7 linked regions of the Macaca mulatta genome follow. The protein of the gene in region 1 interacts with the protein of each later gene in a biochemical or structural test. Links are inferred from orthologs where the notes say so. Each region holds a gene or a part of one and is shown in the gene's direction. Other genes may lie near its edges. The genes, in order: ERBB3, TXK, SHC3, RASA1, GRB7, ABL1 and NRG2.

What was found.
Region 2: the proteins of ERBB3 (region 1) and TXK form a complex in vitro, tested with the Homo sapiens proteins (2 studies listed by BioGRID and IntAct, with this or other methods). The link is inferred for Macaca mulatta from reciprocal best matches to the Homo sapiens genes ERBB3 and TXK.
Region 3: the proteins of ERBB3 (region 1) and SHC3 form a complex in vitro, tested with the Homo sapiens proteins (2 studies listed by BioGRID and IntAct, with this or other methods). The link is inferred for Macaca mulatta from reciprocal best matches to the Homo sapiens genes ERBB3 and SHC3.
Region 4: the proteins of ERBB3 (region 1) and RASA1 form a complex in vitro, tested with the Homo sapiens proteins (2 studies listed by BioGRID and IntAct, with this or other methods). The link is inferred for Macaca mulatta from reciprocal best matches to the Homo sapiens genes ERBB3 and RASA1.
Region 5: the proteins of ERBB3 (region 1) and GRB7 form a complex in vitro, tested with the Homo sapiens proteins (2 studies listed by BioGRID and IntAct, with this or other methods). The link is inferred for Macaca mulatta from reciprocal best matches to the Homo sapiens genes ERBB3 and GRB7.
Region 6: the proteins of ERBB3 (region 1) and ABL1 form a complex in vitro, tested with the Homo sapiens proteins (2 studies listed by BioGRID and IntAct, with this or other methods). The link is inferred for Macaca mulatta from reciprocal best matches to the Homo sapiens genes ERBB3 and ABL1.
Region 7: the proteins of ERBB3 (region 1) and NRG2 form a complex in vitro, tested with the Homo sapiens proteins (2 studies listed by BioGRID). The link is inferred for Macaca mulatta from reciprocal best matches to the Homo sapiens genes ERBB3 and NRG2.

What each region holds. Positions count from the first base shown.
Region 1 is NC_133416.1:63,238,372-63,241,871, forward strand, and holds part of ERBB3 (receptor tyrosine-protein kinase erbB-3), read left to right. Parts: intron 1-978; coding exon 979-1,044; intron 1,045-1,196; coding exon 1,197-1,315; intron 1,316-1,422; coding exon 1,423-1,564; intron 1,565-1,944; coding exon 1,945-2,058; intron 2,059-2,149; coding exon 2,150-2,270; intron 2,271-3,500. UniProt on the Homo sapiens protein: Tyrosine-protein kinase that plays an essential role as cell surface receptor for neuregulins.
Region 2 is NC_133410.1:47,627,543-47,631,719, reverse strand, and holds the start of TXK (tyrosine-protein kinase TXK), read left to right. Parts: upstream 1-1,377; 5' UTR 1,378-1,489; coding exon 1,490-1,505; intron 1,506-4,177. UniProt on the Homo sapiens protein: Non-receptor tyrosine kinase that plays a redundant role with ITK in regulation of the adaptive immune response. Regulates the development, function and differentiation of conventional T-cells and nonconventional NKT-cells.
Region 3 is NC_133420.1:119,720,977-119,724,476, reverse strand, and holds part of SHC3 (SHC-transforming protein 3), read left to right. Parts: intron 1-2,655; coding exon 2,656-2,806; intron 2,807-3,500. UniProt on the Homo sapiens protein: Signaling adapter that couples activated growth factor receptors to signaling pathway in neurons. Involved in the signal transduction pathways of neurotrophin-activated Trk receptors in cortical neurons.
Region 4 is NC_133411.1:93,646,054-93,650,155, forward strand, and holds the start of RASA1 (ras GTPase-activating protein 1), read left to right. Parts: upstream 1-1,302; 5' UTR 1,303-1,869; coding exon 1,870-2,387; exon of another isoform or gene 2,388-2,444; coding exon of another isoform or gene 2,445-2,449; intron 2,450-4,102. UniProt on the Homo sapiens protein: Inhibitory regulator of the Ras-cyclic AMP pathway. Stimulates the GTPase of normal but not oncogenic Ras p21; this stimulation may be further increased in the presence of NCK1.
Region 5 is NC_133421.1:64,095,106-64,098,605, forward strand, and holds part of GRB7 (growth factor receptor-bound protein 7), read left to right. Parts: intron 1-809; exon of another isoform or gene 810-1,343; intron 1,344-1,526; exon of another isoform or gene 1,527-1,580; 5' UTR 1,581-1,585; coding exon 1,586-1,740; intron 1,741-1,849; coding exon 1,850-2,000; intron 2,001-2,180; coding exon 2,181-2,337; intron 2,338-2,462; coding exon 2,463-2,584; intron 2,585-2,674; coding exon 2,675-2,752; intron 2,753-3,326; coding exon 3,327-3,464; intron 3,465-3,500. UniProt on the Homo sapiens protein: Adapter protein that interacts with the cytoplasmic domain of numerous receptor kinases and modulates down-stream signaling. Promotes activation of down-stream protein kinases, including STAT3, AKT1, MAPK1 and/or MAPK3. Promotes activation of HRAS.
Region 6 is NC_133420.1:16,870,050-16,874,175, reverse strand, and holds the start of ABL1 (tyrosine-protein kinase ABL1), read left to right. Parts: upstream 1-1,326; 5' UTR 1,327-2,108; coding exon of another isoform or gene 2,109-2,207; 5' UTR 2,208-2,814; coding exon 2,815-2,950; exon of another isoform or gene 2,951-4,126. Other genes in the region: uncharacterized protein LOC144335005, read left to right, coding at 2,109-2,207. UniProt on the Homo sapiens protein: Non-receptor tyrosine-protein kinase that plays a role in many key processes linked to cell growth and survival such as cytoskeleton remodeling in response to extracellular stimuli, cell motility and adhesion, receptor endocytosis, autophagy, DNA damage response and apoptosis.
Region 7 is NC_133411.1:148,740,656-148,744,155, reverse strand, and holds part of NRG2 (pro-neuregulin-2, membrane-bound isoform), read left to right. Parts: intron 1-800; coding exon 801-972; intron 973-3,500. UniProt on the Homo sapiens protein: Direct ligand for ERBB3 and ERBB4 tyrosine kinase receptors. Concomitantly recruits ERBB1 and ERBB2 coreceptors, resulting in ligand-stimulated tyrosine phosphorylation and activation of the ERBB receptors.

The sequences.
Region 1 (3,500 bases):
GTCAGGAGCTCAAGACCATCCTGACTAACACGGTGAAACCCCGTCTCTACTAAAAATACAAAAAAAAAAAAAAAAAAAAAAAAAAAACACTAGCTGGGCGTGGTAGTGGGCACCTGTAGTCCCGGCTACTCAGGAGGCTGAGGCAGGAGAATGGTGTGAACCCGGGAGGCGGAGCTTGCAGTGAGCTGAGATCATGCCACTGTACTCCAGCCTGGGCCACAGAGCGAGACTCTGTCTCAAAAAAAAAGAAGAAAAGGAGCAGACCGAGCATGGTGGCTCATGCCTATAATCCCAGCACTTTGGGAGGCCAAGGTGGGAGGATCACTTGAGCCCAGGAGTCCAAGACCAGCCTGGGTAACATAGCAAAAAATCTACAAAACATTTAAAAATCAGACAGGCGTAGTGGTTCACAACTGTAATCCCAGCTACTCAGGAGGCTGAAGCAGAGGATTGCTTGAGCCCAGGAGGCTGCAGTTGCAGTGAGCTGTGATTGTGCCTTTGTACTCTAGCCTGGGCAACAGACTGAGACCCTGTCTCAAAAAAAAACAAAAAAAATTCCCTGGGTACTAAGCAGGGAAGCCAGATCTTTAGGCTCCACATCTGTTACTCGTTCCACTAGAATATACTCCCTTCTCCTCAGAGCCCACCTTCCCCTGACCATTCACATGCATATATTCCTGCATATATTCAGTTTGCCCAGGAGGAACCAAGTTCCTGGGTTGGGACTGGGACTAAGATTGGCATTTGCCCCAGTCCCTCCCCTTCAGCTGCCCACTGGGTAGTGTGGAGGCGTGGCCCCACCCCTTGTTGACAGGTTCACTTGAGCCCAGCCCTGCTCTCCAAGGGCAGGGAGGGACACAGCCTTGGCTTTTTGCTTCCCGGGATTGAGGTGCCTGTGTAGTGACATCATACCCTGTTGATTCAAACAAGCCTTTCTTAGCCCTGATGGCCCCTTGTGTTGCCTTCCTTCCCAACCAGGTCCCCTCTGTCATGAGGTTTGCAAGGGGCGATGCTGGGGTCCTGGACCAGAAGACTGCCAAACATGTGGGTTTGAACTTTCCTCCAAAAACTTTACTCATACACTTTCATATCCCTTCCTCCCCAAGCCTGGGTCAATACTGCGGGGGAGGCATGAGCAGTGGCCTCAGGATTCAGTCCTAGGAGCCCTAACAGCCATGCTTTCTCTCCTTCCATAGTGACCAAGACCATCTGTGCTCCTCAGTGTAATGGTCACTGCTTTGGGCCCAACCCCAACCAGTGCTGCCATGATGAGTGTGCCGGGGGCTGCTCAGGCCCTCAGGACACAGACTGCTTTGTATGTATTCTTTCCATTGCCTGGGTTCTGAAATTGGGTTGTGGCCTTTGAGGAGGAGGTAGGGGTACACACATAACATAAATCTGATGGGCCTCCTTTTTTCCCAGGCCTGCCGGCACTTCAATGACAGTGGAGCCTGTGTACCTCGCTGTCCACAGCCTCTTGTCTACAACAAGCTAACTTTCCAGCTGGAACCCAATCCCCACACCAAGTATCAGTATGGAGGAGTTTGTGTAGCCAGCTGTCCCCGTAAGTGTTTGAGGGGAAGGAACAATGATCAACAATAGTAGTTCCAAGATTTTAGACAAAATTGTGGGAGGCAAAAAGAATCCAGTTGGTGATAAATAGGGAGATTGGTGAATGGTTATGATCATCTAACCACTCCAATGAGTGACCCCTATGTCCTGTCCTCCCATGACTTCAGCTATCACCCTTACTTCTGCTCCTTGTAGCAACAAATAGTGAAGAGACTTTCGAATCTACAGGGCAGCACTTAAGGGACCTAGGGTGGCAGATGGGGACAGATCCAGTGCAGAGCCGGAGGGAGCCCAGGCCCACAGCAAGGGTTCCATTGGTAGCTGGTAGTGTTCCTCCCTCATCTCTAATGGTGTTGTCCTCCTCTTCCCTAGATAACTTTGTGGTGGATCAAACATCCTGTGTTAGGGCCTGTCCTCCTGACAAGATGGAAGTAGATAAAAATGGACTCAAGATGTGTGAGCCTTGTGGGGGACTATGTCCCAAAGGTGGGTAGGAGATGGTAAGAAGTTGTAAAGAGACAGCCTTTCCTCTGAGCCTGCTCAGACCACCCCCACTGAATCTCTCTTACATTTACAGCCTGTGAGGGCACAGGCTCTGGGAGCCGCTTCCAGACTGTGGACTCAAGCAACATCGATGGATTTGTGAACTGCACCAAGATCTTGGGCAACCTGGACTTTCTGATCACCGGCCTCAATGGGTTAGAGATCCTGCCTTCCCTCCTTAGACCCCAGCCCATGCACCCCTCACAGTTCATTTCACTGGCCTAAACTTTCCTATGTGGAGCTGACTAGGAATCAAAGTCACAAAATTCTAGCCTGTTATAAAGGACCTGAAAGAATGCTTAACACATCCTCCATCCAGGCCTTGGGTCCCCTCAGGAACATCTTTGAGCAATTGAATATCGCCCTGTCAAGGAACAAGGGACAGGAACAGCATATCCTCTTTCTGAAAGTTTTCTTTTTTATTGTCTTTTCTTTTTTGAGATAGAGTCTCGCTCTGTCACCTAGGCTGGAGCGCAGTGGCGTGATCTTGACTCACTGCAGCCTCGACCTCCTGGGCTCAAGTGATCCTGCCACCTCAGCCTCCTAAGTAGCTGGGACTAGAGGCACACACCATCATACTCGACTTATTTTTTTGTATTTTTTGTAGAGACAGGGTCTTGCTATGTTGCCCAGGCTGATCTCAAACTCCTGTGCTCAACCGATCCTCCCATCTTGGCCTCCCAAAGTGCTGGGGATCATAGCACCCAACCTCCTTCTTAAAGTTTTCTAAAAGTTCTTCTTTAAATTTGGATAAAAATCTGTCTTCAGGCTGGGCACGGTGACTGTAATCCCAGCACTTTGGGAGGCTGAGGTGGGCGGATTACGAGGTCAGGAGATCGAGACCATCCTGGCCAACATGGTGAAATGCCATCTCTACTAAAAATACAAAAATTAGCTGGGTGTAGTGGCGCATGTGCCTGTAATCCCAGCTACTCGGGAGACTGAGGCACAAGAATCACTTGAACCCAGGAGGTGGAAATTGCAGTGAGCCGAGATTACACCACTGCACTCCAGACTGGCAACAGAGCGAGACTCCGTCTCAAAAAAAAAAAAAATTTCTGTCTCCCTGTGACTTTTAGATGTTTTCACTCATTCTGCTCCTTGGAGCAGCAGAACAAAGGGACTTTCTAGTCTGTAGGACAGCACTTAAAATATATGTGTGTGTGTCTGTGTGTGTATGTGTGTGTGTGTCAGAAAAAGAGAGGGAAAAAAACACTATAACCACCTGTTTTTTTTTCCTTTAATTTTTTATTTTGACATAATTTTAGATCTACACTGAAGTTGCAAGAATGGTGTAAAATTCCCCATATACTTTTTTTTTTTTTTTAATTGAGACAGAGTCTCAACTCTGTCGCCCAGGCTGGAGTGCAGTGGTGCCATCTCGG
Region 2 (4,177 bases), on another chromosome or scaffold:
ATTTTGGTTGCTAACCATGCACAACTTTTAACTGACTTGTAGCTTATTCAAGGAGTCGGTCCTGGCACACTCTACCTTACTATCACTATCAGCCTTTTCTCCTTCCTTCCTGACCTTCCCTCCTTCCCTCCTGCCATCCCATACTTCCTTTTTCACCTTGAGGAGCTATGGGAAGTACTAGGTGGTATGAAAGAGAGTGAGGAGAAGATAAGAGTCCCTACCCTAATGGTCAATGTATGCTTTTTATGGGAAAACAAGATAGATAGTACCTGGCAACATTTGTGAACATTTCCTTCAAAAAACTTTAAATATTTTTCACTAAGACTTAAAAAAAAAAGGTTTTATACGAAAGCATAACTAAGGCAGAAGGGGAAGTAAAAATAACAGTCATCACCCAGAATGCTAAGGAGACCCTAATCTAAACAGGAGATTGGAAGGGCAATGGGAATATGCTGTGTCTTCATTAAAGTTGTTCTGTTGCTCTCTGGGCTCGGACCTGGTTCGTGGCGAGATGGCCAAATGTACTAAGAAAGTTGGATCATCAGTAAATACGGGACCCGCTATGGGGCCTCCCGCCGGAAAATGGTGAAGAAAATTGAAATCAGCCAGCACACCAAGTACACTTGCTCTTTCTGTGGCAAAACCAAGATGAAGAGACGAGCTGTGGGGATCTGGCACTGTGGTTCCTGCATGAAGACAGTGGCTGGCAGTGCCTGGACATACAATACCACTTCCGCTGTCACGATAAAGTCCGCCATCAGAAGACTGAAGGAGTTGAAAGACCAGTAGATGCTCCTCTACTCTTTGAGACATCACTGGCCTATAATAAATGGGTTAATTTATGTAAAAAAAAAAAAAGTTGTTCTGTTAATTAGTTAACACATAGTTATGCTTTCCAGTGGGATGAAGTGAAACTCCCAAGTGTGTTTTGTATTGTTGGTGTTTTTATATTTCTCAGTCATCCCCCAATCACATTTTAGGGTTATTACTAGATTGACTTCGCCCAAATAAAGTGTCTGCTGAGTGGGAGGATGGAACATTCTAAACTCAATATTCCAGAGCCTAGAATCTAATTGTTTCTGCCACTCAGAGTGTGGCCTTGGGGAAGTCCCTTATTCTGTCTGTGCCTCCATTTCCTTCCCAGTCCAGAGAGGGCAGTTTGACTTGATGATTTTAAAGGTGCCTTTTACCAAAATTTTGTGATTTCTTGAAAATGATGTTTGCGAGTCACCCACACCTTTGGGGATGAGAGACTAATAGCAGACACCCTCAGAGATTGGGATGGAGATTACTGAGCTTTCTTATATAGGCCATTGGTTGTCATTTATACTCTTCTGAGGTTTTCAGAACAGGAAAATAGGTGGGGTTAACTCTGCCCGTGAGAAACATCTTGAGTGAACTATGATTTCAGTTGAAAGATGTGTTTTTGTGAGTGGAGCACTGCAGAAGAACTGAAGACTGTTGTGTGCTCCCTGCAGAAGGGGCTGCCATGATCCTTTCCTCCTGTGAGTAAGATGAGCTTTCTCAATTTATTTTCGGGGCTTGTTCTGGACCTATTCTTCTTGAACAGCAGAGGATGTTTTTCTTTCTAAGGCACAGAGCTTGGGAACATTAAAAGGTAATTTCCTCAGATGTTGTGACAGAGTTTTGTTTCTTATTTAAAGAACCACGGTGGTGATGTAATTCTAATAAAGGTTCAGCATTGAGAACATAAATGAAAGAAAAACAAAAGAATGTCCAGGAATCTACATATGTGTGTGTAGAAATGCAATCAGTGTGAAGTACTTGTTTTTAGAATGAGACTGTAATGAACTTTGGACTGAAGGCCAGGAGACCAAATTCTAGTTCTGGATTTGCTCCAGCAGTGGTGGATCACAGTTGGCAACTTTATATATATATAAATACACACACAGACACAAATAAATATATTTAAGGCAAAAGGAAGAGAGGTTAAAACACAACTGTGTTTATCATGTAAACATATAGACTTACCCTTATTTTCACAGGAGTATTTATTCACAATTTTGTGTAGACATCCGTTATTGAGGACCTTTCCCAGGCAATTGAAATTTAGGCAAAACTGATTCTTACCTGCAGTCAGAGCCTGAGTAAAGGCAAAAATAAGAGTCAAAGTCATGAGTCTCCACATGGTTAAGAGTGTGAACATGGTCGAGTGTGAACACTGGCTTAAATGTCTCTTTCCCTCATATATAATATTACATATGAAGATGTTATTTTAATATTTTTATAGAATATAAGACCACCGTTAAAAATAAGTGCTAGTTTTAGGAGAACAGAGAAAGATTCCCTAGATGCTGTTATCTGTGAAGATCCTTGGTTTGAAAGAGCCGTGGGGATGCTTATAAATCCAAAGAAATTAGAATAAAAAGAAAAACAAGCAGAATAGTCTTCTAAATAAGAAGGCAGCCATCATATCAGAATTGCAATATCTTTGTTTCTTTATAAAGGTATTTATTGAGCACCTACCATGGGCCATGGTCTATACCAGTTCCTTTATATTCATTATCTGAAAGCTTCACTACAAACTGGCAAGGTGAAAATTGTTATTCTTATGTAGCCAATAAGAAAATAGTGCCTTTGAAAGTTTAAATCTCACCAAAAGCTCACATGGTTGTCACACTCAGGATTTAAGCATGAGACTTTTTTTTTTCTGAGACAGAGTCTTGCTCTGTCACCCAGGCTGGAGTGCAATGGCGTGATCTCAGCTCACTGTAAGTTCCACCTCCTGGGTTCAAGCAGTTCTCCTGCCTCAGCCTCCCGAGTAGCTGGGACTACAGGTGCACGCCACCATGCCTGGCTAATTTTTCTATTTTTAGTAGAGACAGGGTTTCACCATGTTGGCCAGGCTGGTCTCGAACTCCTGACCTCAAATGATTTACCTCAGCCTCCCAAAGTGCTGGGATTACAGGTGTGAGCCACCACACCTGGCCAAGCATGAGACTTGCCGGACTTGGGATTTAAGCGCTCTTCCTTTTGCCTTAAATATATATATATATATAAAAATATATATACACACACACATATGTACACACATATATAAGTTTGTATATATAAATAAGCTCTCAAAGGGAGTGTGTGTATGTGTATGTGTATATTTGTATACATATAAATCTGCCAACCGTGATCCACAAATGCTGGACAAAATCCAGAACTAGAACTTTTGCCCAGGCGACTCCCTTTTTGGCCACCTTGCAACAAAATGTAAAGAAACAATAAACCTAAGAGGTGCTTTAAGAACTTTATTTTGGGAGTTGCTCAGTTTTGGAAATACTTGTTAATTTATCTCTAAGACTCAGAGGGCGTTATTTTGCAGATAAGGAAGGAAAATACTGTCTTTGATTTTAATACTAGATGATGATGGAACCAAGCTTCAACAAAGCTCAGTCATATCAGATTAAAGCAATCAAAGGCCAGCTAAAAAAAGTCAAGTTTTTACATTTCTGACTTTTAGGTGGCATTAAGGAAAAAATGATTGTAATTTTTAAATGTCATCTATTTAAGCCAAATCCCCTTACAGGAGCCAACAATTGTTTGTAGATTTTGTAAAAAAATAAATAAATAAATAGACCACGTTATTCCAGTTGTGCTGACCTGAAAATAACTCGTAGTCTTCCATTCACGCAGATAAGAACAAGGCTCCTGTTAACAGAAATATAGGCCAAGCAGAGCAAAGCAGAAAAAGTGAAAAAGCAGCAACCTGTGTCCCCTGCCACCCCCACTGGCAAGACAAGCTCAACAGTGACTTAAGAATCTTTAAATGTTAAAAGCTGTGTGAGCATCTGCTCTTTATTTCCGTCAAGGTCAGAACTAAAGAAAATGCTGTAAATTACAGCAGGAACGATTCGGTTATATATAAAATAAATCATTGTGAAGGTTGAGACAAGGATTTGATTGCCCAAGGGATTAAATAAGGGACTACCTATTGGCGGGGTATTTTGAGGATTATTCTCTCTGGCATGGCTTTGATGAAAGCTCACTCTCCTTTCCAGCGTCTGTTAATTTGATTTGATGATAAGAATCACCTGTTGTCTACTGTCAATTGCAGCTGAATGTGGCTACATTTTCTGCTGGGTAAAACAATGAGTGTTTACTGTTGACAAGGAGACAGCTAAGTGATGCCTCAAGATGTATTACTGTTAATAAAAAAAAAAGGTCC
Region 3 (3,500 bases), on another chromosome or scaffold:
GGAGTGTGGCAGTGTGAGGCCGACCAAGCTGTGCGTTCTGCGTCGGGGAGTCAGGCTTCTCCGGTCCTTCTCTCGCTGCAGGTGAGTGTATAGATTTACTATTTGTGAATTTTTGTTGTTGTTGTTCATTATGTTATTACTGGGGAAGAGACTCTGATCTGGATATCTGGATTCATTGCACATCTTCAACTGGAAATAAAAAATAGTACTTTTTTTTTTTTTTGAAACAGAATTTCTCTCTTGTTGCCCAGGCTAGAGTGGCGTGGTGCGATCTCAACTCACTGCAACCTCTGCCTCCTGGGTTCAAGCGATTCTCCTGCCTCCCGAGTAGCTGGGATTACAGGCGTGCACCACCATGGCCAGCTAATTTTGTATTTTTAGTAGAGACAGGGTTTCTCCATGTTGGTCAGGCTGGTCTCAAACTCCTGACCTCAGGTGATCCGCCCATCTCAGCCTCATAAAAGTGTTAGGATTACAGGCTTGAGCCACCGCACCCAGAAAAAATAGTACTTTTGTATAAATGGATTTTTGGCCAGGTATGGATTGCAGGATTATGCCTGTAATCCCAGTACTTTGGGAGGCTGAGGCGGGTGGATCGTTTGATCCCAGGACTGTGAGACCAGCCCGGGCAACATGGCAAAACCCCATCTCTACTAAAAATACAAAAATTAGCCAGGTGCAAGGGTGCGTGCCTGTAGTTCCAGCTACTCAGGAGGCTGAAGCAGGAGGATGGCTTGCCTGGGAGGCAGAAGTTGCAGTGAGCCGTGATCACACCACTGCACTCCAACCTGGGTGACAGAGCGAGACCCTGTCTCAAAAAAATCAATCACTCAATCCATCAGTGGATTTTTTGGTATGGTCTGATTTTTCTTGGAGGATTTTCCTTGCAGAAATCCAAGGGTATTTCAACCCAAAACCGAAGAAGACTTTGAAAAACAAATCAGATGCCACTAAGACTCCATTTATTATTATTTTTAAAATTGATAATTCATATATAATCAAATCGCCCTTTTAAAGTTTACAATTCAGTTGATTTGTTATATTCAAAAGTTGTACAGTTATCACCATTAATTCCAGAACATTTTCATTACCCCCCCAAAGAAACTCTATACTCATCAGCAATTACTCCCCATTCTCCACTCCCTCCTCTCCTGCCAACCACTAAACTACTTTCTGTCTCTATGGATTTGCCCATTCTGGACATTTCATATAAATGGAATCATACTGTATGTATCTGGCTTCTTTCACTTAGAAGAATATTTTCAAGATTCACTCATGTAAGATCTGTCAGTATTTCTTTCATTTTAGAGTTCTTAGTAATATTTGAATGTATAGATATATCACCTTTTGTTCATCCAGTCATTAGTTTGTGGACAGTTGGGTGCTTCTACCTTTTTTTTTTTTTTGAGATGGAGTCTTGCTCTGTCACCCAGGCTGGCGTGCAGTGGCGCGATCTCGGCTCACTGCAACCTCCGCCTCCCAGGTTCAAGCAATTCTCCTGTCTCAGCCTCCCGAGTGGCTGGGATTACAGACACGTGCTACCACGCCCGGCTAATTTTTGTATCTTTAGTAGAGATGGGGTTTCACCACGTTGGCCAGGTTGGTCTTGAACTCCTGACCTCATGATCTGCCAGCCTTGGCCTCTCAAAATGCTGGGATTACAGGTGTGAGCCACTGCGCCCAGCCCTACCTTTTAGCTCTTATGAACATTGCTGCTGTGAAGATGTATACAAGTTTCTTTGTGGACATATGTTGCAATATTCTTATGTATATAACTGGGAGTGAAATTCTGTGGTCATATGGTTATGCTGAAACTGCAAAGCTATTTTCCAAAGTGGCTGCACCATTTTACAGTCTCATCAGCAATGTGTGAGGGTTCTAATATCCCCATGTTCTTATCAATACTTTTTCTTGTCTATCTCTTTGATTATAGCTACCCTAGTGGGGATGAATTGGTCTCTGGTTGTGGTTTTGATGTGCATTTTCCTGATGACTAACGATGTCGAGCTTCTTTTCTTGTGCTTATTGGCCTTTTGTGTATCTCTGGAGAAAAGTCTGCTCAAAACCTTAGCTCCCTTTTAAGATCGGGCTGTCTTTTCATTGTTGAGTTGTAGGAGTACTTTATATATTCTAGATACATGTCTCTTTTAAGATACATGTTAGCAAATATTTTCTCCCATTTTGCGGTTTGTATTTTTACTTTCTTGACATTGTCCTTTGAAGCACAACAGTTTTTTCAAATAGCAGAAGGGAGAATTTTGAGAGGTTCATATTCTACCATTTTCCCTCTTATCACTAAATTTCCATTTTGTAGTTGGTTTTGTTTGGGATCAATTTCATGGCTTACAAAAATGTGTGCTGTCCCTTGAGGAGCTGGCTATCCTTAGGCATAATTTCTTTCTTAATTAAAATGTCCTTTTACAAAAGGACCTCATTCAAACATGACTGAAATGTTCCAGTGAGTGAAACTCTGAATATGGCAGAGATCTTTTGCTAAACCACTCGTCTGCTTTTCATCTATGCGTGAGACCTGGATGGCTGAAGAGGCACTGACTAAACTCTCTTTTCTTGATAACAGGCGCTAACATTAGATTCGTTGGTTTTGGCTGCAAGCTCAACTTTTGGCTAAAGCCCTTGGAAATCTTCCTTTAACAGAATGCAGAGTCTGGATGAGCCATGGACAGAAGAGGAGGGAGAAGGCTCAGACCACCCGTACTACAACAGCATCCCAAGCAAGATGCCTCCTCCAGGGGGCTTTCTTGATGCTCGACTGAAACCCAGACCCCATGCTCCTGACACTGCACAGGTAAGTCTTATATTTTTTTCTCTGTATAAGGAATGGAGGCTAACTCAACTTTATTTCCTTTTGTTTTGTTTTTTTGTTTGTTTGTTTTATTTCAGGCTGATGTTCTATTCCATTTTTGACACGGTAAATCATGAACTTTCTCTCACTGGATTTCATGAGGCATGCAGATGAGGAGAGGCTTTGTGTGTGTTAACATCATAAAGCATTAGCCAAACGCTTTGGAACTGTGTTGTGATTCCTGGGATATGAGTCTGGGGGTGTCCTCTGTACCCTCAGATGTATTCCATCATACTGTGATCTCAGTGAGGGAAAGAGAGAATTTAAGATTTTAAAAAGGCTTGGGAGGCATTGGGTTCTCTGAAAAGGAGTGAATATAGACCCTTAAAAGGATGAGAATTTTATGAGTTTTCTATTTTATTCATTCCCTTGCTTTATGTCCAACTCAAAATTCTAGTAAGGCAATTGCTTTCTAGAGTTATGATATTTCTATTTTGTTATAGGAAATTTTTAACATTACTACCTTTTGTGAATGATAATGGCACCACTAAAAATGGCAAAATAACATCAAGCTCAGGGATCTGACACTGAGAGGGAATTTCCTGATTTTTTGAAGGAAGTTTCCTGGTTTACAGAGTGGACTTGCCCAAGTGTGAACAATCATGGGCGTATGTGTTATGTGGGAAGTGTGTTCTGA
Region 4 (4,102 bases), on another chromosome or scaffold:
ATCAAGTTGGATCGTTGTCATCGACTAGGTAAATAGGCCTACGCAAATTTACAAAGAAAATGCATTGCCTGTATCTTGCCACCTCTTTCAGTGGTCTTTTCTCTTGTTCCTTGGTTTCTATCACAACCACTTGCCATCCGGAGTGTTGGCTTGATCATCCTTAGCAGAGAAAATACTGATCTCAAAGATCAATATCCAATGGTATTCAACGTGGGATTACTACTGGGAGAATTTAAAATAACAATACCGTTAATTTCAAACCATGGGAAGCTCCCTGTACATGAATGCATGTAATAGTTTGTATACATTTTAGTGTAGAAGACAAAATAACACTCTTCTCCTTAATTGTATTAAAAATGAGTTTTCAGTTTATTGCTACTTTAGAAACGATATATAATTGTAACTGGCATTCTGAGACATTCTTGACATTTGACTTGTTGAAGGTGCTTGCATTGCGGATCACACCCTGCAGTCTTTTGCACACAGAGGACAAAAGTGCATTGATTAGTGTTTTCTGTGGCACCCCCTCCTCTTCATCAGTATACAACAGACTTATAATAGCATAGGTAAGTATATGAGACAGTTGATAAAGAAAAACCTATGCAAATACTAGTAGAAATCTTACTTCATAACCACTATTTCTACCAAAATTCCCCACCCTTCTCATATGGTGCCCTTTATTTCGTTTCGGAGTTTCAGAATCTATTCTATCTGTGTGTGTGTGAGATAGTCATGGTGATTTATAGCATGCAACGAAAAAGACAACATTTAGTACTGCCCCGATCTTCAAAGCTACCTGACTCCTGCATGGTCTCTGCGCTGCTGGCTAAGGCTGTTTCTTCCACCGGTCAGGAAGTACGGAACTAGTTTCTAGGCATTTTCCTTTCCCTTTCCCCCTTCTTCCTCTCCGCCGCCTCCCGGTCCCCCTCTCGTCTCTCCGGCTTTCACAGCGCCGAGCACCCGCGTGCTCAGGTACCCTTCCCTCTTCTCCCGCCCATCAAACAAAGCCCCGGGAGACAGGCGCGCGCCGCCGGCCACGCCAACAGGAGATGCGGCCGCGCCGCCGCACGCTAGGAACCGGAGTAGGACAGCAAGCGCGACCACGCACCGCGCGTCCCCGCCGCTTCCTTCCCTCTGGACTCTTCCTTTTCCTCCAGGCCCGGCCCCCCGCCCCCCGCCCCCCGCTCCCCGCTCCCCGTTCCGGGAACGCGCCTGCGCACAAGCTGCCCTCTCCCTCCTCCGCCCTTCCTTCCCTCCGTCCCTCCTCCCCTGCCCCGCCTTCCTTTCTCTCTCTACGGTTTCAGTCACTGAGAGCTCCAGGTAGTGAGCAGTTCAGTCGATTTCCTTGTTACCCCGCCCCCCTTTCTCTTGTCCCCACCCCTCTCATCTGCCTGGTGGAGGATGAAGCGGCTGCAGTGGCCCCAGCCTCAGCAGCGGCACCGGCGGTGGCTGCGGTGTGGGTGGCCGGAACTGGGGTGGTGAAGAAGCGGTGGTGGCTGCTGAAGGAGCGATAGCCACCTAAGCCTCTTTCCCTGTGCTTCCTTTCCTCTTTAGTGCAGCCAGGAAGTTTTCGCTTCTGTACATGTGTTTGTGTGCGTGAGTGTGGGTGTGTGCCGTGAGGTTTGGGTGGCGTTTGTGCAGGCGTTGGGTTTTTTGCCCACTTCGCTTCCCGTAACCCAAGCAGCTCCGGAGCCTGGGCTGTGGCCCTAGGAGGGGGCGCGGCGGCGGGCTCTCTCCTTTTGTTGTTGTTTCCTCCGCCTGGGGAGCTGAAGGGGAGACGCGTCTGGGTGGGGCGGCTCGGAGCCCGGGCCTGGTGGCCCCCGGGGCTCCCGGGCGGGCAGGGTAGGGCAGAGTAGAGCGGGCTTCAACATGATGGCGGCCGAGGCCGGCAGTGAGGAGGGCGGCCCGGTAACAGCCGGAGCTGGAGGAGGCGGCGCGGCAGCGGGCTCCAGTGCCTATCCCGCAGTGTGTCGGGTGAAGATACCCGCGGCCCTGCCTGTGGCAGCCGCCCCCTATCCTGGGCTGGTGGAGACTGGAGTGGCTGGAACTCTGGGTGGCGGAGCCGCTTTGGGGTCAGGGTTCCTAGGAGCCGGGTCTATGACAGGGGCATTGGGGGGAGCCGGACTGACAGGGGGAGGTACTGCTGCTGGCGTGGCCGGTGCTGCTGTCGCTGGACCTAGTGGAGACATGGCTCTCACCAAGCTGCCCACTTCGTTGCCTGCTGAGACTCTTGGGCCAGGCGGCGGTTTTCCCCCTCTGCCCCCTCCCCCTTACCTGCCCCCTTTGGGGGCGGGCCTGGGGACAGTGGACGAAGGTGACTCTCTGGATGGACCAGAATACGAGGAGGAAGAGGTGGCCATACCATTGACCGCTCCTCCAACTAACCAGTAAGTTAAGACTGCTGTTCAGGAATTTGGGCAGCTGGCTCCAGAAAAGAAGTGGAAATGGGGTAAACCATACTTTGTCTTTTTCATCTGTGATTTGTTTAGGAAAAGTTTTTGAAGTTTCAGGTTTCTTTGATCACTTATCTTCCTTACAGGCATACTACCTGGCGTCTTCCTACATTTATTGCTCTTCTGGGAAGGTGTAAAGTTTTTAAGATGGAAAGTATGAGAAAATGTGTATCTGATGAGAACCGGATATGGTTCTGTCCCTTCCAAGTTGAAGTGGTGTCCCAGGATTTAGTCAAACTGCGGCTACCAAGGCAGTCATAGTGTATATTAACCTGTGTGTGTTACTTGATAAAGCTAGATGATTAGTGAGAAATTTTGAATACAAATATTTAAACGAGTATTGTATTAATAATTTGAAAAATGTATTGGTTAGAATGTATTTATTTCAGTGCACATCCCAGCTTCTGATTAGAGAAAGCATAGTGATGTTTAGAAGAGTCTGTGGGTCACTTAATGAGAACTTGGGTCAGAGAGAAAGGAAAGGAATACTGTGAATTATAGGTGTGATTAAGCGCCTTTATTTCAACAATGTATCTTCTTCCCTAGGCTTCCCACTTAGCTTTTATAGTCGAGACATTGGAAGTACAACAGTGAGACAAAACAAAATTAACAGAGCTTCCCTTAAACATTTTTTGTTGGTGGCCAGTATAGTATTCTATTTGAAAATTAAGTAGAATATACAGGACAATGACTTTTTTTTTTAATGTAAGTTAATACCTCCTCACTTGTCTTAATTGAACTTAGGTGTTTATTCATAAAGGTGGACCTTGATGAAAATGTTGCGATGGGAAGTGGTATTAGGCAAAACTTGTTATAGGTTTCTCGTATAACTCTTAATTGACCCTTAGAATTTTAACAACCTTGGTGAATATCAGGAAAGAAAGATTTGGTTCATATGTTGACAGTCATTCTGGACAATTCAGAGGTTTTTTTTTTTCCTCTCTCCATTGCCCCCAAGAGATGGAGTCTAGCTCTGTTGCCCAGGCTGCAGTGTAGTGGCATGGTCTTGGCTCACTGCAACCTCTGCCTCCCGGGTTCAAGAGATTCTCCTGCCTCAGCCTCCCTAGTAGCTGGGATTACAGGTGCATGCCACCATGCCTGGCTAATTTTTGTATTTTTCATAGAGACGAAGTTTCGCCATATGGCCAAACTGGTATGTTAACTCCTGACCTCAGGTGGTCGGCTGGCCTCAGCCTCCCGAACTGCCGGGATTACAGGTGTGAGCCACTGTGCCCGGCCTTTTTTTTTTTGGATAAGCTTCTTTGGAGCATTTAGAAAGGACTGAAACTAGGAAAAGATTCTGTTACCCTCATCTATTTTTGACTTAAGGCTGCATCTTTTGATACTTAAAGTGGAAAAGTAAAGTTAGTCATATTTATGCCAGCCATGTTATAGGGATGTAGTGTTCCACCTTTTATATTCCTCAATAAAGGGTTCAAGTCTTGCGTCAGAGTTTTGTTCAAATTTTACACGACAATTTATTTCATGTCATTGTAATGCAGAGTCCCTGGGAGTGTTCAGGGAGTGTTAAAAATTCCAATTTTGCCGGTCGCGGTGGCTCACGCCTGTAATCCCAGCACTTCGGGAGGCCTAGGCAGGTGGATCACCCGAAGTCGGGAGTTTGAGACCAGCCTGACCAAGATGGAGAA
Region 5 (3,500 bases), on another chromosome or scaffold:
GGCAGGGCTGTTTTTGTTTCTCCTAAGCCAGGAAGTTGTGTGGATGAGTCAAGGTTGAATGGAGAGCCCTAGGCAGTGTTGTCCCGCCTGCCCTGACTCACCTGTCCCCCAAATCCCCTGATGCCCTCACTGAGGGGTCAGGTGCCTGCGCCCTCCTGAGGGGTCAATCCCAGGTGCCCCAGGTGGCCTCATAGTACTGGCCCAGTGTTCGGAGAACAGGCTAGGGGCTGGGATTGCAGGTTCTCCCAGGTCTCAGTCCAGCCAAAGGGGTCTGCCTGGTTCCTGAGGAGGAGGGGCCAGCCCCACCTCCACCTCTAGTGCTCGCCTTTGCCGGCCCTCCTGTCTTTACTTGTCCTGAGTGTCTGTGCAGCCCCTGTAAGTGATAAGACATGGGTGAGATTGGCCTTGCCTGGGGGTACCGGGTGCCCTTGGACAAATGAGTGGATAGGACAGGTGCGCAGTAATGGATGATGTAGCCCCTGCACAGTGCTGAGAGGGAGTCGTTCACTCAGAATGTGGAAAGCCAGGAAGGCTTCTCAGAGGAAGTGGCTCTAGCATTGGAGCCTCAGGAAAGAGTTGGGCAGGAGGATGGCCTGGGGAGGGTACGCAAGGTTTAGGGGCTGCTGTGGCCAGGACACCTACCCCAGGTCTGCTCTCCCCCTTGCACTGAAGCGGAGCCGGCTCTCCTGACTTTCGGGCTCCCATCCTTCCCCACCTCCTTCTCCCCCCTGCATCACTCATCACTTGGGCAGGCCAAATTTCACCAAGTACGAACAGGCTCTGGCAACTGGGTCTGGCAACACAGTGCTGGAAAAACCCGGGCAGTGCCTGGAGCAGTGAGTGCCCCACGCGTGGAGGCAAAGGAGTGGACCTTTGCCCTGACCCTGAGGGCTGAGCCTGAGAGTGTGTGGGTTGTGAAATCTGTTGTGACCACCAGGCTTGTGGTGGGTGGACCCTCAGCTCTTCCTGTGAGCAACTTTGTGCTAAAGAAAGAGCACTGGAGCTGGGCGCAGTGGCTCACGCCTGTAATCCCAGCACTTTGGGAGGCCAAGGCGGACGGATCAGGAGTTCGAGACCAGCCTGGCCAACGTGGTGAAACCCTATCTCTACTAAAAATACAAAAATTAGCTGGGCATGGTGGCATGCACCTATAATCCCAGTTACTCGGGAGGTTAAGGCAAGAGAATCGCTTGAACCCAGGAGGCAGAGGTTGCAGTGAAAAAAAAAAAAACAAAAAAACCAGAAAGAGCACTGGACTTGGAGTCTAAACACCAGGTTCTACTCCTGACTCACCTGTGACTCAGGGCACCAGGTTCTACTCCCCGACTCACCTGTGACTGAGGGTAAGAATGCTTCCTTCTCAGAGACTCAGTGTCCCCTTTTATAAAATGAGGCTCATTCTGTCTTTCCCCAAGGGCTTCAGGGAAACTCCAGTTAGAGCAGTGAGGTGCTAGGTAAACTCTGAGGGGCACCCTAACCACCGTGTGAGGTCAGGAGGTCTGATTTCTCTAGTCCCCTCTCCCCAGGACAAGGGCATACAACTGACACAACTGGTTCCATTCTGCCCCTCTCTCCCTCAGATGCCATGGAGCTGGATCTGTCTCCACCTCATCTTGGCAGCTCTCCGGAAGACCTTTGCCCAGCCCCCGGGACCCCTCCTGGGACTCCCCGGCCCCCTGATACCTCTCTGCCTGAGGAGGTAAAGAGGTCCCAGCCTCTCCTCATCCCAACCACCGGCAGGTACGATGGGATGTGGGGCTTGGGGGAGGTCAGTGCTGGATAATACACAGAGGCTTGCAGGCCACTGCTCCTTTCCCCACACCTCTCTCCCTTTTTCTTCTTGCCACAGGAAACTTCGAGAGGAGGAGCGGCGTGCCACCTCCCTCCCCTCCATCCCCAACCCCTTCCCTGAGCTCTGCAGTCCTCCCTCACAGAGCCCCATTCTTGGGGGCCCCTCTAGTGCAAGAGGGCTGCTCCCCCGCGATGCCAGCCGCCCCCATGTGAGTTGTCCCTCAGAAGGGAAGGGAGGGATGCAGGGTTCTGGATCTGTGGGAGATACACAGCCATTTCCATGGAGGCGGGGGATCTTGGTTAGGAGTCCCTGAGGGTCTAGCAGGTGCGGAAAGGGAAGGAATCACCCTTTGCCTCCCCTCAAGTCATCTGCAATTCCTGGGGCACAGGTAGTAAAGGTGTACAGTGAGGACGGGGCCTGCAGGTCTGTGGAGGTGGCGGCAGGTGCCACAGCTCGCCATGTGTGTGAAATGCTGGTGCAGCGAGCTCACGCTTTGAGCGACGAGACCTGGGGGCTGGTGGAGTGCCACCCCCACCTAGCACTGGGTAAGTCGGGTGCATGGAACTACCCAGGCTGGGAGGTGATGTCTCGCATCTTGGGCTAGGCATGTGACTCATCTGGGAGATCTGGTTGATCTCCAATAACCCCTGCTTTTTGCCCTTGACCCCAGAGCGGGGTTTGGAGGACCACGAGTCCGTGGTGGAAGTGCAGGCTGCCTGGCCCGTGGGCGGAGATAGCCGCTTCGTCTTCCGGAAAAACTTCGCCAAGTACGAACTGTTCAAGAGCTCCCCAGTGAGTGTGTGAGGGCTGTCTGGGCGCTGGGATGCCCTGAGCCTGAACCGGACACTGGAGCCCTGACCCCTGACACTTTTCTACCCTCAGCACTCCCTGTTCCCAGAAAAAATGGTCTCCAGCTGTCTCGATGCACACACTGGTATATCCCATGAAGACCTCATCCAGGTGGGGAGACCCCCCCCCATTTCACGACTCCCCAGAACTGACCAGTGCTTCTCCGCCCTTAGGTCCTGTGCCTCCCCTCTATGTGGTAGAAAGAGCCAAACCACAGTCCTGTGTGACTGGGGACAACTCACTTTCCCTACCTGAGCATCAGTTTCTTCTGTTAAATGGGGGCGAGAAATGCATGTGGAGCATTTCCTTGTAAAAACCTGAGGGTGGGCTGGGTGTGGTGGCTCATGCCTGTAATCCCAGCACTTTGGGAGGTTGAGGCAGGAGGATTACTTGAGCCCAGAAGTTTGAGACCACCCTGGGCAACATAGTGAGACCTTGTCTCTCCAAAAAAAAAAAAAAAAAAAAAAAGGAAAAGGCCAGGAATGGTGGCATGAGCCTGGTCTCAGGTGCTTGGGAGGCTGAGGTGGGAGGATCACTTGAGCTCGGGAGGTCAAGGTTGCAGTGAGCTGTGATCGTGCCACTGCACTAGCATAAGACCCCATCTCAAAAAGAAAAAGAAGACATCTGGTGGTAGAGGGGAAGGGAGGAGGCCAGACCTCCCACTCTCTTCTCTTCTCTGGCTCAGAACTTCCTGAATGCTGGCAGCTTCCCTGAGATCCAGGGCTTTCTGCAGCTGCGGGGTTCAGGACGGAAGCTTTGGAAACGCTTTTTCTGCTTCTTGCGCCGATCTGGCCTCTATTACTCCACCAAGGGCACCTCTAAGGTGAGGTCTTGAGAGTGCCAGCTCCAGCCTCTGCAG
Region 6 (4,126 bases), on another chromosome or scaffold:
TGGTGCGTGCCTGTAATCCCATCTACTTGGGAGGCTGAGGCAGGATAATCGCTTGAACCCGGGAGGTGAAAGTTGCAGTGAGCTGAAATCCTGCTACTGCACCCCAGCCTGGGTGACAAGAGCAAAACTCCATCTGAAAAAAAAAAAAAAAAAAAAAAAAGAAAGAAATGGGATTCCTGTCAGATGCATCCCTCTGGGGAGACATGGAGAGCCAATAGGAACCAAGGTGCTTTTTAGTCGCAGAACATGGATTCTATCAGGTGTGGGTTTGGCACATCTAGGTCATTGGTTCTGTAGACTTGCTAAACCCAACCATCTGGGCATTTTCTCAGCTAATATAGAGGATGTTTTCATGTGAATACGTGTTCACCTGTGAAATGTTTATAGTCTTAAAGATTCGTTCCAGGGCAAACATCTGATAGCGCCTGGCAAACCCAACAAATGGCTTTTCTGTAATGAGTAAGCCTCCTAATGCCCAAATAAATAGTTGAATTCGTTAGCAACATGTCGGATGTTTTCCCTATTTCTGTATGTTTCTTCGCTAGTTGTTTTTTTTTGTTGTTGTTGTTGTTGTTTTTTGAGACGGAGTTTTGCTCTTGTTGCCCAGGCTAGAGTGCAATGGTGTGATCTCAGCTCACCGCAACCTCTGCCTCCTGGGTTCAAGCGATTCTCCTGCCTCAACGTCCTGAGGCTGGTATTACAGGCATGCACCACCACGCCCGGCTCATTTTGTATTTTCAGTAGAGAAGGGGTTTCTCCATGTTGGTCAGGCTGGTCTCGAACTCCCGACCTCAGGTGATCCGCTCGCCTCGACCTCCCAAAGTGCTGGGATTACAGGCGTGGGCCACCGCGCCCCGTCCGCTAGTTCTAATATTTATGCTTTTTGGAGGGTGAAGGGGTTGAGAGGCACCAAAAACCTTGGCTTCTAGGAGCAAGCCACATTTTCTCCCTTAGAGACTGAAGGAAATCATCCGATTCCGGTTCCAGGAAAATCCAATCCGCAGTTTTTCCCTCGCTTTGTCCCGGTCTTACTACTCGCGCCGGGGAGACGCGGTCCAGCCGACGCTCGGCCGGCGAGAGTCCACCAGGTCCCAGGAGGGCGGGGCGAGGCCCAGCGGTCGGGGTCCGGGCCAGGAGTCTCGGTGCGGGAGGACTCGCGCGGGTGCCGTGGGACCACAACTCCCGGGACGCACCGCGTACTGCGCCGAACACGGTTGGCTGGGAGATCCAGCCCTACTGCCCCCATTGGCCAATGGGACGGGGGAAAGAGGCCCGACCCGGATTCTCGGAGGCCAATGACAATACAGAGGAGGCGGGTGCTTCCTTATCACTCACCTTGCGCTCAAAGAAGCCACATTTAAAAGGTCGTGCCGGGCCCGGCTTTCGCAGGCAGTGGGACCAGAGCCGGGACGCGCGGCGGTGTCCCGGGAAAGCGGCCCTGAGGGCATCCGGGTCCCCTTGAGGCGGGCTCCGGACGTCGTCGTGGGCGGGGCGGAAGGCGGGGCCTGGCCTCGTTGTGGAGCGGCTCGTAATCCATCATGGCGGCCGCGGGGGTCGGTGTCTGTGCCTGAGCAGCGCTGGAGCCGGAGCCGGTTCCCGGGTGCTGCGACTGAGGAGCCCTTCCGCTGTCCACGGCCCCTACCGGCGGGGGGCGGCTGGGTTCCTCGGCGGAGCTCTGGGGATGTGATTGCCTGAGGGCGGTGGTGGTGTCAGCGTCCGGGGCCGGGGGAGAGGGTGTCTCAGGCAGAGACCCCCGGGCTTGGGGCAGCTGAGGCGGCCGGGCCTCCTCTACACGGCGTCCGCCTTTCGCTGTCTGGGCCGCGAGAGTCCTTCGTCCCTTACAGCTCCACCCCGGCTTTGGGACACTGGGGGTCTGTTACCCTCAGCTTGGGACACCCCGTTTTCCGAGGCGTGGAAGAGCGTCGCCCTGGAGTAAGCCGCCCGTGCCGCGCCCCGGCAGCCTCCCTCAGCCCCGAGCCGCCCCTTGTTCCGGATCCCGGCCCCAACTTTGGCCACAGAGCCTCTCATTCAAATCCCTCCCTGCTGTCAAGGGGTCTCCCCTTCCCCAAGGTGGCTCCCGCGAGCCTCTAATGCCCTGACTTCTTCCAATGTCACCTACGGCCCCCTTAGTCTCAGGTCAGCCAAAAACTTTAATGCAAAGGAAAAGTCTGGATTGGTTCCACAGGCCTTTTAAAAAGCGGACTTAAAAGTTGCTGGCAATGCATTCCTTTTCGTCAGAGTCGAGGGCAAACTCGCTGAAATCTGGGTGACCCGTGTCCTTTTCCGGAGAGCAGAGCAGAGAAGCGAGAGCGGCCACTAGTTCGGCAGGAAATTTGTTGGAAGATGAAGAAGCTAAGATAGGAGGTTGGTGACTTCCACAGGAAAAGTTCTGGAGGAGTAGCCAAAGACGATCAGCGTTTCCTTTATATGTGGGAATTGAAATGACTAGCATTATTGACCCTTTTCAGCATCCCCTGTGAATATTTCTGCTTAGGTTTTTCTTTTTGAAAAGAAATTGTTATTCAGCCCGTTAAAAAAAAAAAAAAGTCAAGAAACTTTTGGGTAACACTGCAATTACATTACTTAAAATTGATAAACTGCGAAAATAATTGGAACTCCTGCTTGCAAGTGTCAACCTAAAAAAAGTGCTTCCTTTTGTTATGGAAGAGGTCTTTCTCTGATTGACTTCAATTGCTGACTTGTGGAGATGCAGCGAATGTGAAATCCTGCGTATATGCCATTTGCCTCTACGCTCTCTGACCGTTCTGGAAGATCGTGAACCCTCTTCTGGAAAGGGGTACCCATTATTACTTTATGGGGCAGCAGCCTGGAAAAGTTCTTGGGGACCAAAGAAGGCCAAGCTTGCCTGCCCTGCATTTTATCAAAGGAGCAGGGAAGAAGGAATCATCGAGGCATGGGGGTCCACACTGCAATGTTTTTGTGGAACATGGTGAGTGCTTTTAAAATTTCTGCTCATTATTTTCCTCATGCGTTCATCTTAGGCCTTCAAGGAACTTTGAATAATAGTACTTGCGACAGTTCCTTCCAATTCCACTTAATACATTTGTTACTTTAGTTATCTCTCAAGTTTCTGGTGAAACTTACTTTGTATAAGAAAAAGTTACTTCGTGAGTTCGGCTTTATTCAGAATCTATTTGAGTTGCTTATTTCTTGCCTGCTTCCTCTGCGAATTCACTGTTGACCTTGGACAAGCCATTTTACTGTTCCAGGGCTTCAGTTTCCTGAGGGGCTGGACTTCAGTTGTTTCTTAGGATGCATGGTTCTATGATTCTGCTCTCACCGAAGTCAAGGGCTCTTCTGACATGCATGGATTCTTTACTGCTTTGTCTACAGAGAGCTTTTATCATATTCTCAAAGTGGTTTGTTTTTCTGGTAAAGTTAAGAATCATAGATACTGGTTGATGCTAATATCCTTGACCTTTTCCATCATAAGTGGGACTTGAAAATACTCACTTTGGAGCCATGTGGGAAAAATCAAGTGGGGAGGCAGCATTCCTTATTAATTTTAGATACACAGCTTCTGTCTTACCTTCCATAGGAGTAATAATCCCTTCCTCGTTGATGAAGCTTTCATCCTCTCTTCTCCCTGTTTAGAGTGACATTTGGGCCAATAAAAGTTGTCTTTGACATTTTTATGAACATATTTGGCATTTGAGTGCTGACAGCACATTTTATGTTGTTCATGTCCAGTAATTCTGTGTGAAGTTAAAGCTAAGGGTCGGCTTACACTAATGTCTATAACCAATTAATTAGGGTTACTGTTTGTACTGTTGCAGCCTGCCATTTTTCAGATTGTGTCCTTTATATTAAAAAATCAATTGAGCCCACCTATCCTATAAGCAAACGTATCAAGTGTGCCAGTGGCTTATAGTTTGAAATTCATTCAGAAATACTTCTTAACATTGGGTGACTGCAATCAACAAAGGCTTCTGTTGGATGAACTTGCATTTGACGGTTGAAGTTTTACTTTCTTACAAGAAAATACTCACTTCATCTAAATAAATCTGGGTGCTTGGATTTTACTTTGCCTTGAAACATTAATTCTATTTTAGCTTTGTTTTTAGGCAAGCCAATATGGTCATGTGTTATGATGGCTCCCAAATTT
Region 7 (3,500 bases), on another chromosome or scaffold:
GCACCATCAGTGTCAGTATGACACTGCCTTACAGAGCTCAGGGACCAAACGAGAACCTGCATGAAGGCTTTGTGTATCCTTTAAGGGACTATCCCACTGGAAATTGTTACACACCTCAGCATGAGCACTGGCTTGGCCTCACCTTCCTAAGAACAGGGTACTTTCTCTTTTGTGGTGTGTGTGTGTGTGTGTGTGTGTTTTGTTTTGTTTTTTTGGTGGTGGGGAGAGGAGCAAGGAAGTGAAACATGGGAGACTGGGGCATGTGGAGATAGAATGGCATTTAAGAAAAATGGGGACAGCCTCTCAGCCTGGCATTTGCAGTTTTGCATCCGTGCTTGGGCCTGAGCCCACCAGTACAGCCCCATGGCTTGTTACCCATGATTTTAGATCTTGAGCACCAATGTCAAGGAGATCTGGGTTTGAATCCCAGTTCCATCATCTGCCCTTAGGGAAGTGACTTCACCATTCTGAGCCTCCGTTTCCCCATCTGTAAGTGGGTTTAACCATTGCTGTGAACTCATGGGGTTATTATGAAGGTTTCATAAGCTAATGTCAAGCTTCACACCATTCAAGGCATGAAGGAAACTCTCCATTAGTTATAACTACATTGATGTCATGACAGACTCACTGTAAATGCTTATTGAATCGAACTAGGGAATGACACCAGGAGGGGTGGCTCTCAGGATCATCCCTCCCTTCCCCAGTTCCAGCCCAAAAACAGTGGCCCTTACTGTCCACTACTCATGCTTGGCATTGCCCCTGCCACCACCATGCTCACCTACCTGCCTTGTACCCCACAGCCACCCGGCCCAAGTTGAAGAAGATGAAGAGCCAGACGGGACAGGTGGGTGAGAAGCAATCGCTGAAGTGTGAGGCAGCAGCCGGTAATCCCCAACCTTCCTACCGTTGGTTCAAGGACGGCAAGGAGCTCAACCGCAGCCGAGACATTCGCATCAAATATGGCAACGGCAGGTAAGCAATATCCAGCCTGTCCTCCGTCCAACCGGCTGCCTTCCCTCCTCTCGAGAAGGAGGGGCCTGAACTGGACAGAGGCCAGGGCTGTGCCCCCAGATTCGCCCATGGAACCAGTCCCAGCCCCTCTCTTTACTCCCCTTCCTTGCCACTCCCAGCCTTCTTCCTGCAGCTCAGGGACCCTCTGGTCATGGTGGCCCAGGGTCTTGCAGACCACAGACAAGAATTAAGCCTTTAACTTCTCTGGATAGTTGAAGGCAATTTGACTGTCACAGTCAGCTTGATCAGTGGAAGACCCTGCTCACCCCTAAAACTTCTTGAAAGACCTGCTGCAGCGTCTGAAAGCCCCATCATTGGTAATCTTTGGTGAAAGACCCTGACTCCAGAATGCCTCTGGGAGGTCACACATGATGGGCTGGTTTCTCAGCTTGCAAGCTGTCACTTGTCAGAGAGCTAGGTAGGGGAAAGGGGCAGCACTTTGATTGGTGCTGGAGAACTCTGTTCCTCAGAGGGTTTCCCTCTAAAACATGAGAATTGTGTTTGATCTTGAATCCGTGCTCCAAGGAAGTGAATCAGAGAAGTTGCCTGAGTCTCCAGGCTATGGAAGATGGCCTGTCTTTCATCTTGGGTGGGTCAGGCAGGGGGCTTCTGGCACCAGAGAAGCCGGTAGTCCAAGGCAGCCCACCACCTCTCTCCTGCCTCTCAAGGAGAAGCAAGGGGGAAAACCCGTGCCTGCCAGCTAAACAGGCGTTCTACTTGATGTCTGCTCTGTTGGCTCTGGGGACCTAGTGGCCTTCCCTCTCTGACTCAGGAGCTCCCAAACCTTTTCTGCCCTCTCTCCCAGGCAGCTTACAACCACTCCCTTCCTGGCTGTCATTTTCCTCCTCACCACCCCACCACACACACAAAATGCAAATTAGGATGGTTTTAGAGCACACCAGCCTGCCCACAACAAAAAGTGGTAGAGGGCCTGGGCTGGGCCGGCTGCTTGGGTTTGCCGTGTGGGGCTGGATGTCCACGCCCTGCCTCTGGCCCTCAGACTCTGGAACCTATAAAAGAGGATGAAGGAGTCAGGGGACTGAGAGTTACTTCCAGTTCTCTGATTCTCCTTCCAAGAATGGGGAGCAGAAGTAGAACTGATCATTCTAGAAAATGATCCTGGCAGAAAACAGAATGTAATTAAGGAAGGGTTTGGCTTAGATCAAAGGTTTGTGGCTAAAAGAATGCCGCTTCCTAAGGAACTCACCATGGCCAGTGGTGAGTGGGGGGTTCTATGTGTCCCTAGTCTACAGCATTGTCAAGAAGCTCTGGCTGCCCACCCAGCCCACCCTCTGAGACCACCCTGCCCCTTCTCACTGCACTTCCAAGGCTGGCTCCAAGCTGAAGAGAATGGGCAGGCTTCTTGGAGCTGGGGCAGTTGGGTCCTGTCTCCTTCCTATCCTTTCTTTCTAGAAGATGGCTTCTCCCCTACTTCACTGCAGTGACAAAAGTCAAGAGAGCCCCCATTCCCTCCTCATGACTCCCAAACATGTCTACAACCTGCCTATCATCATTCCACCCTACCTGGTGCCACACACTCATACTCACCCTCCCTCCCGCACATTCCCACACTCCACACACACACACACACACACACACACACACACACACACACACACACACACACACACACACACACACACCCGCAGAGCCCTGGTACCACCAACTCACTCATTTCTCTGGTAACTTCAACTTTCTCTCCCTACCCGTGACTTTTTTTCTCAAATGCTGTCCCTCCACGCTGCTGCTCCCCTGGCCCTCCAGCAGTTGCCCCATCTCACTTCCGCCCTCCACCACCATATGAAGTCACTGAGGGAGCTAGCCTCATGCCCACTGACTGCACACTCTCATCCTCCACTCACTCTTTGCCCTGCTGGAATCTGCCTTTCACTTACATCCCAACCTCTCGATGGCTGTGGCCCTGGAGAAACCCCAGTTATCTCTGCACTCCCTGGCTCAGGCCTCCAGGCCTCTCAATGGCCTCAGCATAGGAACACCTGCTCCCCAGGCCCTGTGATGCTCCTCCTGGTCCTGCTGTGAGTCTGGACACTGTTTCTTAGTTGCCATCAATGCTGGAACTTTCCTGAACTTTGGACCTCACTCTTTTCTTTTCTTTTTTTTTTTTTTGAGACAGAGTCTTGCTCTGTTGCCCAGGCTGGAGTGCAGTGGCCAGATCTCAGCTCACTGCAAGCTCCGCCTCCCGGGTTTACACCATTCTCCTGCCTCAGCCTCCTGAGTAGCTGGGACTACAGGTGCCCGCCACCTCGCCCGGCTAGTTTTTTGTATTTTTTAGTAGAGATGGGGTTTCACCATGTTAGCCAGGATGGTCTCGATCTCCTGACCTCGTGATCCCCCCGTCTCGGCCTCCCAAAGTGCTGGGATTACAGGCTTGAGCCACCACGCCTGGCCGGGCATCACTATTTTCTTTCTTCCCTTTCCAACTGTGGGTGATTTCACCTTCTCCTGTTGCTTTAAGAATCTGAGACCCC